3 linked regions of the Xenopus tropicalis genome follow. The protein of the gene in region 2 binds, or shares a complex with, the protein of the main gene of each other region. Links are inferred from orthologs where the notes say so. Each region holds a gene or a part of one and is shown on either strand. Other genes may lie near its edges.

Region 1 (3,474 bases), on a different chromosome or scaffold from region 2:
CTGGTGATTTAACATTTAAGGTTTATTAAACATAATAGCCAGGTGTGGACAAGGAAATATTTGCAGGGCTTGTACTGTACAAATGTTCTAACCCATGTATTTATGAACTCTTCCTAAATGCTACATTTAGCTGAATCATATTTGATATATCCTTGTGAGTGTCCATGTTAATCACACATCTACTCTCTGCAACTTCTTTATATAAATATATATAATATTTATAATATTATATATAATATTTGCCAAGGAAAATAGGGCATTCACTTCACTGCTTCACAAATGTAAAATGTTATCTTACCTAGTATACCTAAAATAGATGTGTCAATGATGTTATCAAAAAACTAATATTTTCCTAATTTTATGAAGGCAACAGGCACTTTGATACAGTAAGGTAACAAGTACACACATATGCTCTTCTCTATCAGTTGACTAGGGTATATATCTTTAAGAAATCTTTGGTCCAAGCAATCTCTTTTCTACCACTAAACTCTTTCACATTCACATCTATGAAATATGAATGATGTATTCACAATTTTGTTTTATCATTTCTTGCAACTGTGCCATTCTCCCTGGATAGGGGTTGCCTGCAACCAAACAGTTATTCTTTGTTTTTTAGAGGGTACTTGTTTCAAATCCAAAAATAATCCTTCGGTCAGAATTTTTACTTCCTTGCATAAGTTTCATGAAACTTAATCAACCTTTTTGAATTCAAATATTAACAGAGCTGGACTGCCAGCCTGTACTTTTGTTCACCATTTGATCCCTTAAGCAATAAGGGAGGTGATCACTAACATAATAGGCTGCTTGTGCTCTTGGGCTTAACCCAATTACAATCTTCTAGCTTAGGCCTTGCACTCATGTATACCACATGAACCACAAGCTTCACAAAGATTCAAACCTAGGGCAGATTATGACTGCACAAAATAGCACCCCATTGTAATAACTCGGTTTCCCCCTTTTTGTAAGTGTAAGAAACATTTTCCTCCTAATAACCGTTTACTCTGTCTTAATTACAAGGTAACCAAGTGGAGTATGTATGTTGTTGGCATGTGAAAACAGGTTGAACTTGGGCAATGTAGTAATTGCTGAAGTTAGCATCTGCTACATATGGGGCTGGTTGATAGTAGCAAGTTACATTAGCCACATTAGGGATGATGTTTTGTTCAGCCAAGACACGGATTGCTAGCATGGTGATTAGACTCAAAGTCTGCCTTCTTTCATGGCCCATCAAGCATACTGTGCTTTCATTGACTACACCATGAAGAGTCATGAGATAGTCATACTTGCGGTCTTCTAATCCCACAAAGTGGTTCTGCAAGTAAGACTCCAGCTTTCTTTGCTGCTCACCAATGTCTGAAAAGTCAATGAAAAATCTAGAACACATGTACCTCTGCAGGGACTTCATCTCTGTTTCAGAAGCTGCCCTGAATCCCCTTACTAAAAGGTTGCAATACTTGAGAAGGCCACCTCCACGGATCTCCTCAGGATTCCTGGTGGCAATAATCTTGTTACAAAGGTGATCAAAGGCTTCCTGGAAATCCCCATAGACACTCTCCCCAATAATGGTTGGGTGAAAAGTTTCAGTCATAGGGTTCTGAGAACACTCATAAAACAGCAGAAGAGAATCCAGTTTAATCTGAAACGAATCAACGCTGAATTCAAATTGCCTTCGCAAAGAATCCATAAACTTGAGTTCCACATTTTTGCCATGGTTGTTGGATAAGGAGATTAGACTCCATCGATCAGAGTCATTGCAGACTTTTACCATTTTCTGCACATAGGCCTCCTGCAATGTGAAATATAAAACAAGTCCATCACAAAAGTGAAGTGAGAACCAGACAGATAAACAATCCTTGTTTCTTAACATGAACTGCAAACCACCGGAATTAAAAAAAAAAACCTGTGGTAAACAAAGCCACAGCACTGCACTGTGAAGCATTAACGTTGTTAAAGCAGAAAGTAAAGGCTTTAAGAAGCAAAATCTATTTATATGTATAGTTGTACGTCTTATAATAGAAAAAAAAAACAATCTATGTTTCAAATACTAAAGTGTTCTCAATACAGAAAGCCACAATCACTATCACTGCAGGTTAAATAATATAAGTAACCTAAAAAACCCTTTTAACTTGTGCACTATAAAAGTTGCCCCGGACCTTCTTGGCACTGAGAGGGTAAAGTCCTCTTTAGTGTAGTAGAGCTTTGCTTAGGTGCTATCCCACAGGGCCCTCTGGCTGCATGCAGATTAATTAAAGTGCATAGCAGGAGTGCAATGAAGCTATGGCAAAAGATGATGACTAATTTTAGGCAGTTTTTTTCCTCAGCCATAATTTTACTATAAGAAAATGTCCCTCCCTCTTCTATAAGCTATACTCTTCTCTGAGAAAATATGGCGTCTGTATATGTAAACTGTAGCCCCCCAGCTGATGGTACAATGCAACAGATGCATGAGAAACAGCAGGCGTACAGCAATTAGGACACGCATAGGGCATATTTCTTTCTGGGGCTCTTTTGTTAAGTGACCATTATATAGTGACCACTAAGCTTTGGGACAGGACAGCAGTGGTGCTTATTGTCAGACAAAACAAGAGTAGTGCCAAGCCTGAGGAATGCTTAGGTTACAAGTTTATTGTGAATCCTAGCAGTCATTCTACCCTTTCTGCGACAGGCTGACAGCTTGGTGGTGCACTGCTTTCCTTAATGCCAATGGTGAAGATTTCATTTTGCCTCAGAAGACGCAGCAGCAGTGTGGCAGCTCCCATAAATAGTTACATAGGGTTGAAAAAAGACCTGTGTCCATCAAGTTCAACCCATCCAAGTAAACCCAGCACACCTAACCCACACCTACCAATCTATACTCACATACATAAACTATAAATACAACCACTAGTACTAACTGTAGATATTAGTATCACAATAGCCTTGGATATTCTGATTGATCAAGAACTCATCCAGGCCCCTCTTAAAGGCATTAACAGAATCTGCCATTACCACATCACTAGGAAGGGCATTCCATAACCTCACTGCCCTCACCGTGAAAAACCACCTACGCTGCTTCAAATGGAAGCTCCGTTCCTCTAATCTAAAGGGGTGACCTCTGGTGCGTTGATTGTTTTTATGGGAAAAAAGAACATCCCCCAACTGCCTATAATCCCCTCTAATGTACTTGTACAGAGTAATCATGTCCCCTCGCAAGCGCCTCTTTTCCAGAGAAAACAACCCCAACCTCGACAGTCTAACCTCATAGTTTAAATCTTCCATCCCCTTAACCAGTTTAGTTGCACGTCTCTGCACTCTCTCCAGCTCATTAATATCCTTCTTAAGGACTGGAGCCCAAAACTGCACTGCATACTCAAGGTGAGGCCTTACCAGGGACCTATAAAGGGGCAAAATTATGTTCTCATCCCTTGAGTCAATGCCCTTTTTTATACAAGACAGCACTTTATTTGCTTTAGTAGCCACAGAATGACACTGCCT
Region 2 (3,653 bases):
ATATAGCAGACTTCTGTAGAGCAGGGACAGGCAAGGGGGGCAATATATCAGACGTCTGTAGAGCAGGGACAGGCAAGGGGGGCAATATATCAGACATCTGTAGAGCAGGGACAGGCAAGGGGGGCAATATATCAGACGTCTGTAGAGCAGGGACAGGCAAGGGGGGCAATATATCAGACGTCTGTAGAGCAGGGACAGGCAAGGGGGGCAATATAGCAGACTTCTCTAGAGCAGGGACCCGCAAGGGGGGGCAATATAGCAGACTTCTCTAGAGCAGGGACAGGCAAGGGGGGCAATATAGCAGTTTTCTCTAGAGCAGGGACAGGCAAGGGGGGCAATATAGCAGACGTCTGTAGAGCAGGGACAGGCAAGGGGGGCAATATAGCAGACTTCTCTAGAGCAGGGACCAGCAAGGGGGGCAATATAGCAGACTTCTCTAGAGCAGGGACAGGCAAGGGGGGCAATATAGCAGACTTCTCTAGAGCAGGGACAGGCAAGGGGGGCAATATAGCAGACTTCTGTAGAGCAGGGACAGGCAAGGGGGGCAATATAGCAGACTTCTCTAGAGCAGGGACAGGCAAGGGGGGCAATATATCAGACTTCTCTAGAGCAGGGACAGGCAAGGGGGGCAATATAGCAGACTTCTGTAGAGCAGGGACAGGCAAGGGGGGCAATATAGCAGACTTCTCTAGAGCAGGGACAGGCAAGGGGGGCAATATAGCAGACTTCTGTATTGCTCATTTCTGCAGAGCTGGGGTGAGCAAGAGGGTCCGTGAAGCAGAGTTCTCCAGAGAACTCTAAAAATGCTGCTGTTGCATTAACTGCTGTTATGCCATAAATGCCACAAGTTCCCTTTCTCTGTTCTAGAACTTCGGTTCTAGGGATATAGCATGACTTCTCAGGTCACAAAACATTTCACAGATTCCTGTGCAGTAACAAGATTTTTGCTTCTCACCCCCTGAACAACACATACGTCTATCCATTATGTAGTGATATTATTCCTAAAGCACATATATATATATATATATATATATATATATATATATATATATATATATATATATATATATAAAGGATGGTTTAAGAGCCAGAACAGTTCCTACACAAGGACATTGGGGCTTCCAGCATTGCGTTGTAGAGGAATAACTTTCCATTTTATCACGGGATGCTAGCAATATCTCACTTTGCCTTTCAACCATAGAGAAGTATTCCACCCCATTAAACCGGCTTTTAATATAGGCATAAAATCCACTTTATAACAGCATATTTCTGCGAGAGGAGAATCTCGTCCATTTACTGCACGCTCAATTTCATTTAATTAAAACTGCATATGTATATTTCAATGTATCGCAGGGTTCCCTAGTTGTGCACACTGATAACTTGATATAGGAAGGCTCTGCAACCTTGCACTTTAGATACAGAATGTAATAATTAGAGCTTATTAATTACTTTATCTCAGCCAGACCTGAGGAAACAGCTGGGATTCTGGCTCTTTATTAACATTTTAAAGCGTGTCCAGAGAGATCCCTGTCATCTCTAACTTGTTTGTGTAACGGGGCCTAGCCTGCATCCCATTGGCTTTTGTTGAAGGGGAACTTCTCCTTTAAATAAACACGTGGCATTGTATTTATGGCCCTTTTCTAAACGTCTTTTGATTTGTTCCTTATTTTTTATGGTTTTCAAAAAATTATCTTTCTTACCCTCAGCAACCAAACATGGTTGTGTGGGGTCACTGACCCCAGAAAAAAAAAACCCAAAAACCCCAAACTAACTGTAAAGGGCCTATGAGGCATATATTATAGGCACCACTTTGTGCCCAGCAGGAATGGCACATTTGTTTCTGTGTAGGGTGGAAGCTGGCATCTAGGGTTTAGTGGGGAGGTTTTTCAAAATTTGGCTGATTGTAATAGGTTGTTTTCTTCCACCCCAAATCTTTAGTTCTTGTTAATATCTGTATCTTAACATAGATTATGCACCCCTGGCATTCAGTTCTTTGCATGCCCATTTTGTTCATTTCTTTGGATGGCTGGGCATTCAGAGAACGGGACAACTGAATGCCATCATCATAGGAGGCTCTCCCCCCCCCTCCCAGTGATTGTACCATTCCTTTTTCTTTAAGGGGTCTATGAAGGACAGTGTTGGACTGGGTGCTAGGGGCCCCACCAGATAACCTTAGATAGCTGGCCCACTCTCCATACTATATTTATGTCTTTCCTCCATTTCTCATCTTTGCTCTCGTAGAGGGATTGGCCATGGGACACCTATACAAAGCTGAACTTATCTATCATTTCTATAGGGCCAGCACGTTTCACAGCACTTTACATTAATTTATAACAAAGAAATGGTATCAGCGGGCTGTGCTCATAAGACACTGACACCTGGGGAATTTCCCTGGTATCCTAGTGGGTCATCCTAGTGATGGGGGAAACTCGCTCCAAGGTAGCATAGTTTATCAATAGGGGAGTGATACGAACTGCTAAATAGTATAAAGAAACCAAATTAGATTGTGAAGGGGCTTATGGGAAGTTAAATATGCCAAAGGTGCCTGCGTGTTCACTTAACTGCTTGCTATCAGACGGCCGAGGGAAAGGGAGGGGGAGGCCCCATAAAAATGACAATGAAAAAGAACTGCAAAGTGCTCAGCGGAGCACTTTAGGCAGATTTAATTTTGGATGTTTTATGTTCCCATCAGTGCAGATATATTAGCTTGCTGCAAAGTGTGAAGGTTAGCTCCTGCTATTCTAGAAAGAGAACCTTGTTCCCTGCTAATGAACGTTTTACCTGTATATTTCCCTTTCTTTCATGTGCAGAAAGCTCTGCTGAAGTTCAGCTACTCGGTGCAGGAGGAGAGCGACACGCAGCTGGGCGGCCGATGGTCCTTCTCCGACGTGCCCATGAAACCCTTGAGGACGGTGATGTTGGTTCCCGCCGACAGGATGAATTCAATCATGGACAAGTTCAAAGAATACCTCTCCGTGTGAACCGTTTCCCTCCAAACAGAACTATGTACCCGAACGCCGATAACATCATAGAGACTAATTAATTTTTATAAACGTGCGCGTACAATCGTAGTCATTCATTTCATCTTTTGTATCCGCTGTCGGCTCCGGCGAGACCACGCAAGGGTTCTGGGAGATTTCATTAGTGTAATTAAAGACAAGGTCCCTTTAGAGCAGGCGTTCAGTCCCCGGCAGGGAGAGAGTACAACACAGGGTTCACTATATCATTTATTTGATCAGACACAGGGAGGGGAGGAAAAGGGTTACTCGGATTCCTATAACATTTACAAAAAAAGAAATCAGTTCATTAAAGTTTTCCTTTCCTTTTGGACATGTATTGCACTCCTGGAGTTTTCTCTATTAGCCAAGGTCATTGTATAATGCATCTTTGTTCTGTTGCACCTTCATCATCGGCATCAGGTAGGGGCTCCTCTTCTCCGGGCTCTTCAGCCGGGGAACTGGGCACAGTCTGGTGCTGCTGCAGGAGCTCTTTAGTCTCACTAGGGGGCAGGTTGCTGAAGTAGTACGGGGGAACGAACTCCATGAACCTAATGAAAAATAAAGTTTTTCCCCATTAATCCTGAGGTTACATATGTATCCATTGAGGCTATATCGTAACATAAACAAAAGCTTGCAACGAATCCACTATCACCC
Region 3 (3,653 bases), on a different chromosome or scaffold from region 2:
GGCATTGGGGATAATGTTCTGCTCGGCCAGTACCCGCAGGGCAAGCAGAGAGATGAGGTTGAGGGTCTGTCTCCGCTCGTGCCCCATCAGGCACACCGTGCTCTCGTTGACCACCCGCCGCAGGATCATGAGGTAGTCGTACTTGCTCTTCTCCTCGCCCATGAAGTGGTTCTGCAGGTAGGACTCCAGTTTGCGCTGCTGCTCGAAGATGTCGGAGAAGTCGATGAAGAAGCGCGAGCACATGTAGCGCTCCAGCGACTTGATCTGCTCCTTGTCGGCCGGCTTGAAGTCCCGCACCAGCAAGTTGCTGTACTTCATTAGCCCCCCGCCTCGGATCTCCTCCGGGTTCTTGGTGGAGATGAGTTTGTTCCGGAGGTGGTGGAAGGCGGCCTCGAAGTCGCCGTACATGCTCTCCCCGATCACCGTGGGGTGGAAGTGCTCGGACATGGGGTTCTCAGAGCAGTCGTGGTAGAAGAGCAGCGAGTCCAGGATGATCTGGAAGGAGTCCACGCTGAACTCAAACTGCCGGCGGATGGAGGTGACGAACTTCAGCTCGATGTTCCTGCCGTCCTTATTGGAGAGGGAGATCAGGCTCCACCGGTCGGCGTCGGTGAAGACCTTCACCAGCTTTTGCACGTAGGCCTCCTTGAGAGTCAGGGGGCTGATTTTCTCTTTGTTGACCCCTTCGGGAAGAAAGTTCAAGAGCAAACCTATAACCACGTCCTTGACGAGCTGGAACTCCGCCTCGGAGGACAAGGAGACCCCAAAGATGAGGTCCAAGTCTTTGTACCCAAGTCCATTATCTTTGACCAGGACGTGGCTGGCAGCCGAGCCGTTGAGTCGGACATCGCGGACCTTGATGCCGGCCTCCTCCAGGCGGCTGCGCACTTTCTGCACAATGTCCTTCAGCGTGATCTTCAGGGTGGGGAAGTTGCCGCGGCCGTGGATCGGAACCACCTCGGTGAGGAAGCTGTTGAGGCGGCTGACTTGCTCCCACGTCAGGACGCTGCGGGATTTGGAAGAGACATCGGAGCTGTTGCCTTTCTGTTCTGCCATTGCAGGAGTTGGGTTGCTTATGGATACCTGGGTGGGAGAGGGAAGGAGATGTGAGTTGGGGGGGCAATAGTGGGGGTGCAGATATATCTGGGGGCTGTACTACATCTGCTCTTCCCTGGGTGCCATGCACACTACTGACAGGACTGCGGTGTCCAAAACCAGGGGAAACCCAGACAGTCATTTCAAAATGGGAAACTCAGGCACTCAGCACTTTCACAGCACCCACAGGTGGGGGGGGGGGGGGGGAAGCAGCAGCACCCAGAGAGCACCTGTGCCTGTGGGTGCAACAGTGAAGAGCATGAATAGTACAAGGGATGGGGCACATCTTGTAAGGGTCTTAAATACTAACCCCCCACCCACCAGTCAGTGGGGTGCCGCTGTCCAAGAGCTCAATTGCCCCCAGCAGGCTCCTGGGTCAGAGCGGCTATGTATTTTAGGAATTGATTTCCTTTACACCCACCCGTTTACTAACAGGGTAATACAAGGTCGCCCCGTGCCCCGCAGGTATGTGACCCACTAGCAGATTAGCGAATGATAAAGTGTGTGGAAAGAGCAAGGTCCAAACAGCCAGAGCCAGAATTCCCCAACCAATATGGCCGGGCGTGTACTAAAGCCTTCTGATCCGGGGCTTATCCCAAACATGCCCTGGGTACCCCTGGAACTATAGCAGGGTGACTGTTACCCCAATGTTTCTATATATCTGTAACCTTGTTATGGGCTAAGGGGGCCCAGCCTGAAGGCCAGTTAGGGGGGGATTTGGGGTGAGTGCTTATTTGTGCCCTGGGTACCCCTGGAACTATAGCGGGGTGACTGTTACCCCAATGTTTCTATATATCTGTAACCTTGTTATGGGCTAAGGGGGCCCAGCCTGAAGGCCAGTTAGGGGGGGATTTGGGGTGCTTATTTGTGCCCTGGGTACCCCTGGAACTATAGTGGGGTGACTGTTACCCCAATGTTTCTATATATCTGTAACCTTGTTATGGGCTAAGGGGGCCCAGCCTGAAGGCCAGTTAGGGGGGGATTTGGGGTGAGTGCTTATTTGTGCCCTGGGTACCCCTGGAACTATAGTGGGGTGACTGTTACCCCAATGTTTCTATATATCTGTAACCTTGTTATGGGCTAAGGGGGCCCAGCCTGAAGGCCAGTTAGGGGGGGATTTGGGGTGAGTGCTTATTTGTGCCCTGGGTACCCCTGGAACTATAGCGGGGTGACTGTTACCCCAATGTTTCTATATATCTGTAACCTTGTTATGGGCTAAGGGGGCCCAGCCTGAAGGCCAGTTAGGGGGGGATTTGGGGTGAGTGCTTATTTGTGCCCTGGGTACCCCTGGAACTATAGCAGGTTGAACGAAGATGCAATTTAGAGCCGCAGCTCCTTGGGCAGAGCACACAGTAGTAGTTACAGGGCAGGGGCTACTGTACAGAGATGATCTGTTTATTATCGTATATTTTACACCACTTGTACCTTGTTCAAAGTCAACTCGGCTGTTGTAACCGAGATCTTATCCAAGGGAAAGGCCAGAATCCTCCCAGACTGCTCTGGGCAACTTCATAGGAATGGGGGAGTTTACTGGGCAATAGTTATAGCATTAAAGGGAACTCTCATATAATCTTGTGAGGCCACGAAAACTCCGCAAAGAAAGGAAACAGAAGGCTACAACCGTGCAACAATAGATTTAACACTACATTTGCAATCAGTAGCTAGAATCTCAGCCATAAAGCAGGGCAGGACTGCTGCTTACAATGGGGGGGGGGGGGGTCAGATAGGGTCTGTGCCACTGTGACAGAATGCTCTGTTATACAGATAGCTAGAATCTCAGCCATAAAGCAGGGCAGGACTGCTGCTTACAATGGGGGGGATCAGATAGGATCTGTGCCACTGTGACAGAATGCTCTGTTATACAGATAGCTAGAATCTCAGCCATAAAGCAGGGCAGGACTGCTGCTTACAATGGGGGGATCAGATAGGATCTGTGCCACTGTGACAGAATGCTCTGTTATACAGATAGCTAGAATCTCAGCCATAAAGCAGGGCAGGACTGCTGCTTACAATGGGGGGATCAGATAGGATCTGTGCCACTGTGACAGAATGCTCTGTTATACAGATAGCTAGAATCTCAGCCATAAAGCAGGGCAGGACTGCTGCTTACAATGGGGGGATCAGATAGGATCTGTGCCACTGTGACAGAATGCTCTGTTATACAGATAGCTAGAATCTCAGCCATAAAGCAGGGCAGGACTGCTGCTTACAATGGGGGGGATCAGATAGGATCTGTGCCACTGTGACAGAATGCTCTGTTATACAGATAGCTAGAATCTCAGCCATAAAGCAGGGCAGGACTGCTGCTTACAATGGGGGGATCAGATAGGATCTGTGCCACTGTGACAGAATGCTCTGTTATACAGATAGCTAGAATCTCAGCCATAAAGCAGGGCAGGACTGCTGCTTACAATGGGGGGATCAGATAGGATCTGTGCCACTGTGACAGAATGCTCTGTTATACAGATAGCTAGAATCTCAGCCATAAAGCAGGGCAGGACTGCCCTAGCTAGTATTGAGGGGTTCCCCTTGCAGGGAGAGGCCATACTGCCGACACC

The links. The genes of interacting proteins can lie anywhere in the genome.
Region 1: the proteins of bccip (region 2) and tent5a are in contact, whole or in part, in a crystal structure (PDB 8EXE), measured with the Homo sapiens proteins. The link is inferred for Xenopus tropicalis from reciprocal best matches to the Homo sapiens genes BCCIP and TENT5A. Residues at the interface, in NP_510868.1 of Homo sapiens: Val57, Asn58, Ile59, Glu60, Phe61, Glu62, Ala63, Tyr64, Ser65, Leu66, Gln146, Val149, Leu150, Phe152, Cys153, Glu154, Lys155, Asn156, Cys157, Glu158, Lys159, Glu163, Lys167, Leu203, Ala204, Ala206, Thr225; in NP_060103.2 of Homo sapiens: Arg87, Gly88, Asp139, Glu151, Gln155, Lys158, Lys184, Glu185, Val188, Gln189, Lys190, Met191, Val192, Lys193, Val194, Cys195, Asn196, Asp199, Trp201, Asn213, Arg289, Lys295, Glu331, Arg334, Gln341, Asn342, His343.
Region 3: the proteins of bccip (region 2) and tent5c are in contact, whole or in part, in a cryo-EM structure (PDB 8EQB), measured with the Homo sapiens proteins. The link is inferred for Xenopus tropicalis from reciprocal best matches to the Homo sapiens genes BCCIP and TENT5C. Residues at the interface, in NP_510868.1 of Homo sapiens: Val57, Asn58, Ile59, Glu60, Phe61, Glu62, Ala63, Tyr64, Ser65, Arg136, Gln146, Cys153, Lys155, Ala204, Gly205; in NP_060179.2 of Homo sapiens: Asp90, Asp92, Glu102, Gln106, Arg109, Lys135, Glu136, Val139, Gln140, Lys141, Leu142, Val143, Lys144, Val145, Cys146, Thr147, Asn164.

Annotation. Positions count from the first base shown.
Region 1 is NC_030681.2:89,016,575-89,020,048, reverse strand, and holds part of tent5a (terminal nucleotidyltransferase 5A), read right to left. Parts: intron 1,787-3,474; coding exon 1,007-1,786; 3' UTR 1-1,006.
Region 2 is NC_030683.2:25,046,698-25,050,350, reverse strand, and holds the end of bccip (protein BCCIP homolog), read left to right. Parts: intron 1-2,810; coding exon 2,811-2,981; 3' UTR 2,982-3,330; downstream 3,331-3,653. Other genes in the region: putative pre-mRNA-splicing factor ATP-dependent RNA helicase DHX32, read right to left, coding at 3,370-3,547. UniProt on the Homo sapiens protein: During interphase, required for microtubule organizing and anchoring activities. During mitosis, required for the organization and stabilization of the spindle pole.
Region 3 is NC_030678.2:2,829,534-2,833,186, reverse strand, and holds part of tent5c (terminal nucleotidyltransferase 5C), read right to left. Parts: intron 1,084-3,653; 5' UTR 1,057-1,083; coding exon 1-1,056. UniProt on the Homo sapiens protein: Catalyzes the transfer of one adenosine molecule from an ATP to an mRNA poly(A) tail bearing a 3'-OH terminal group and enhances mRNA stability and gene expression.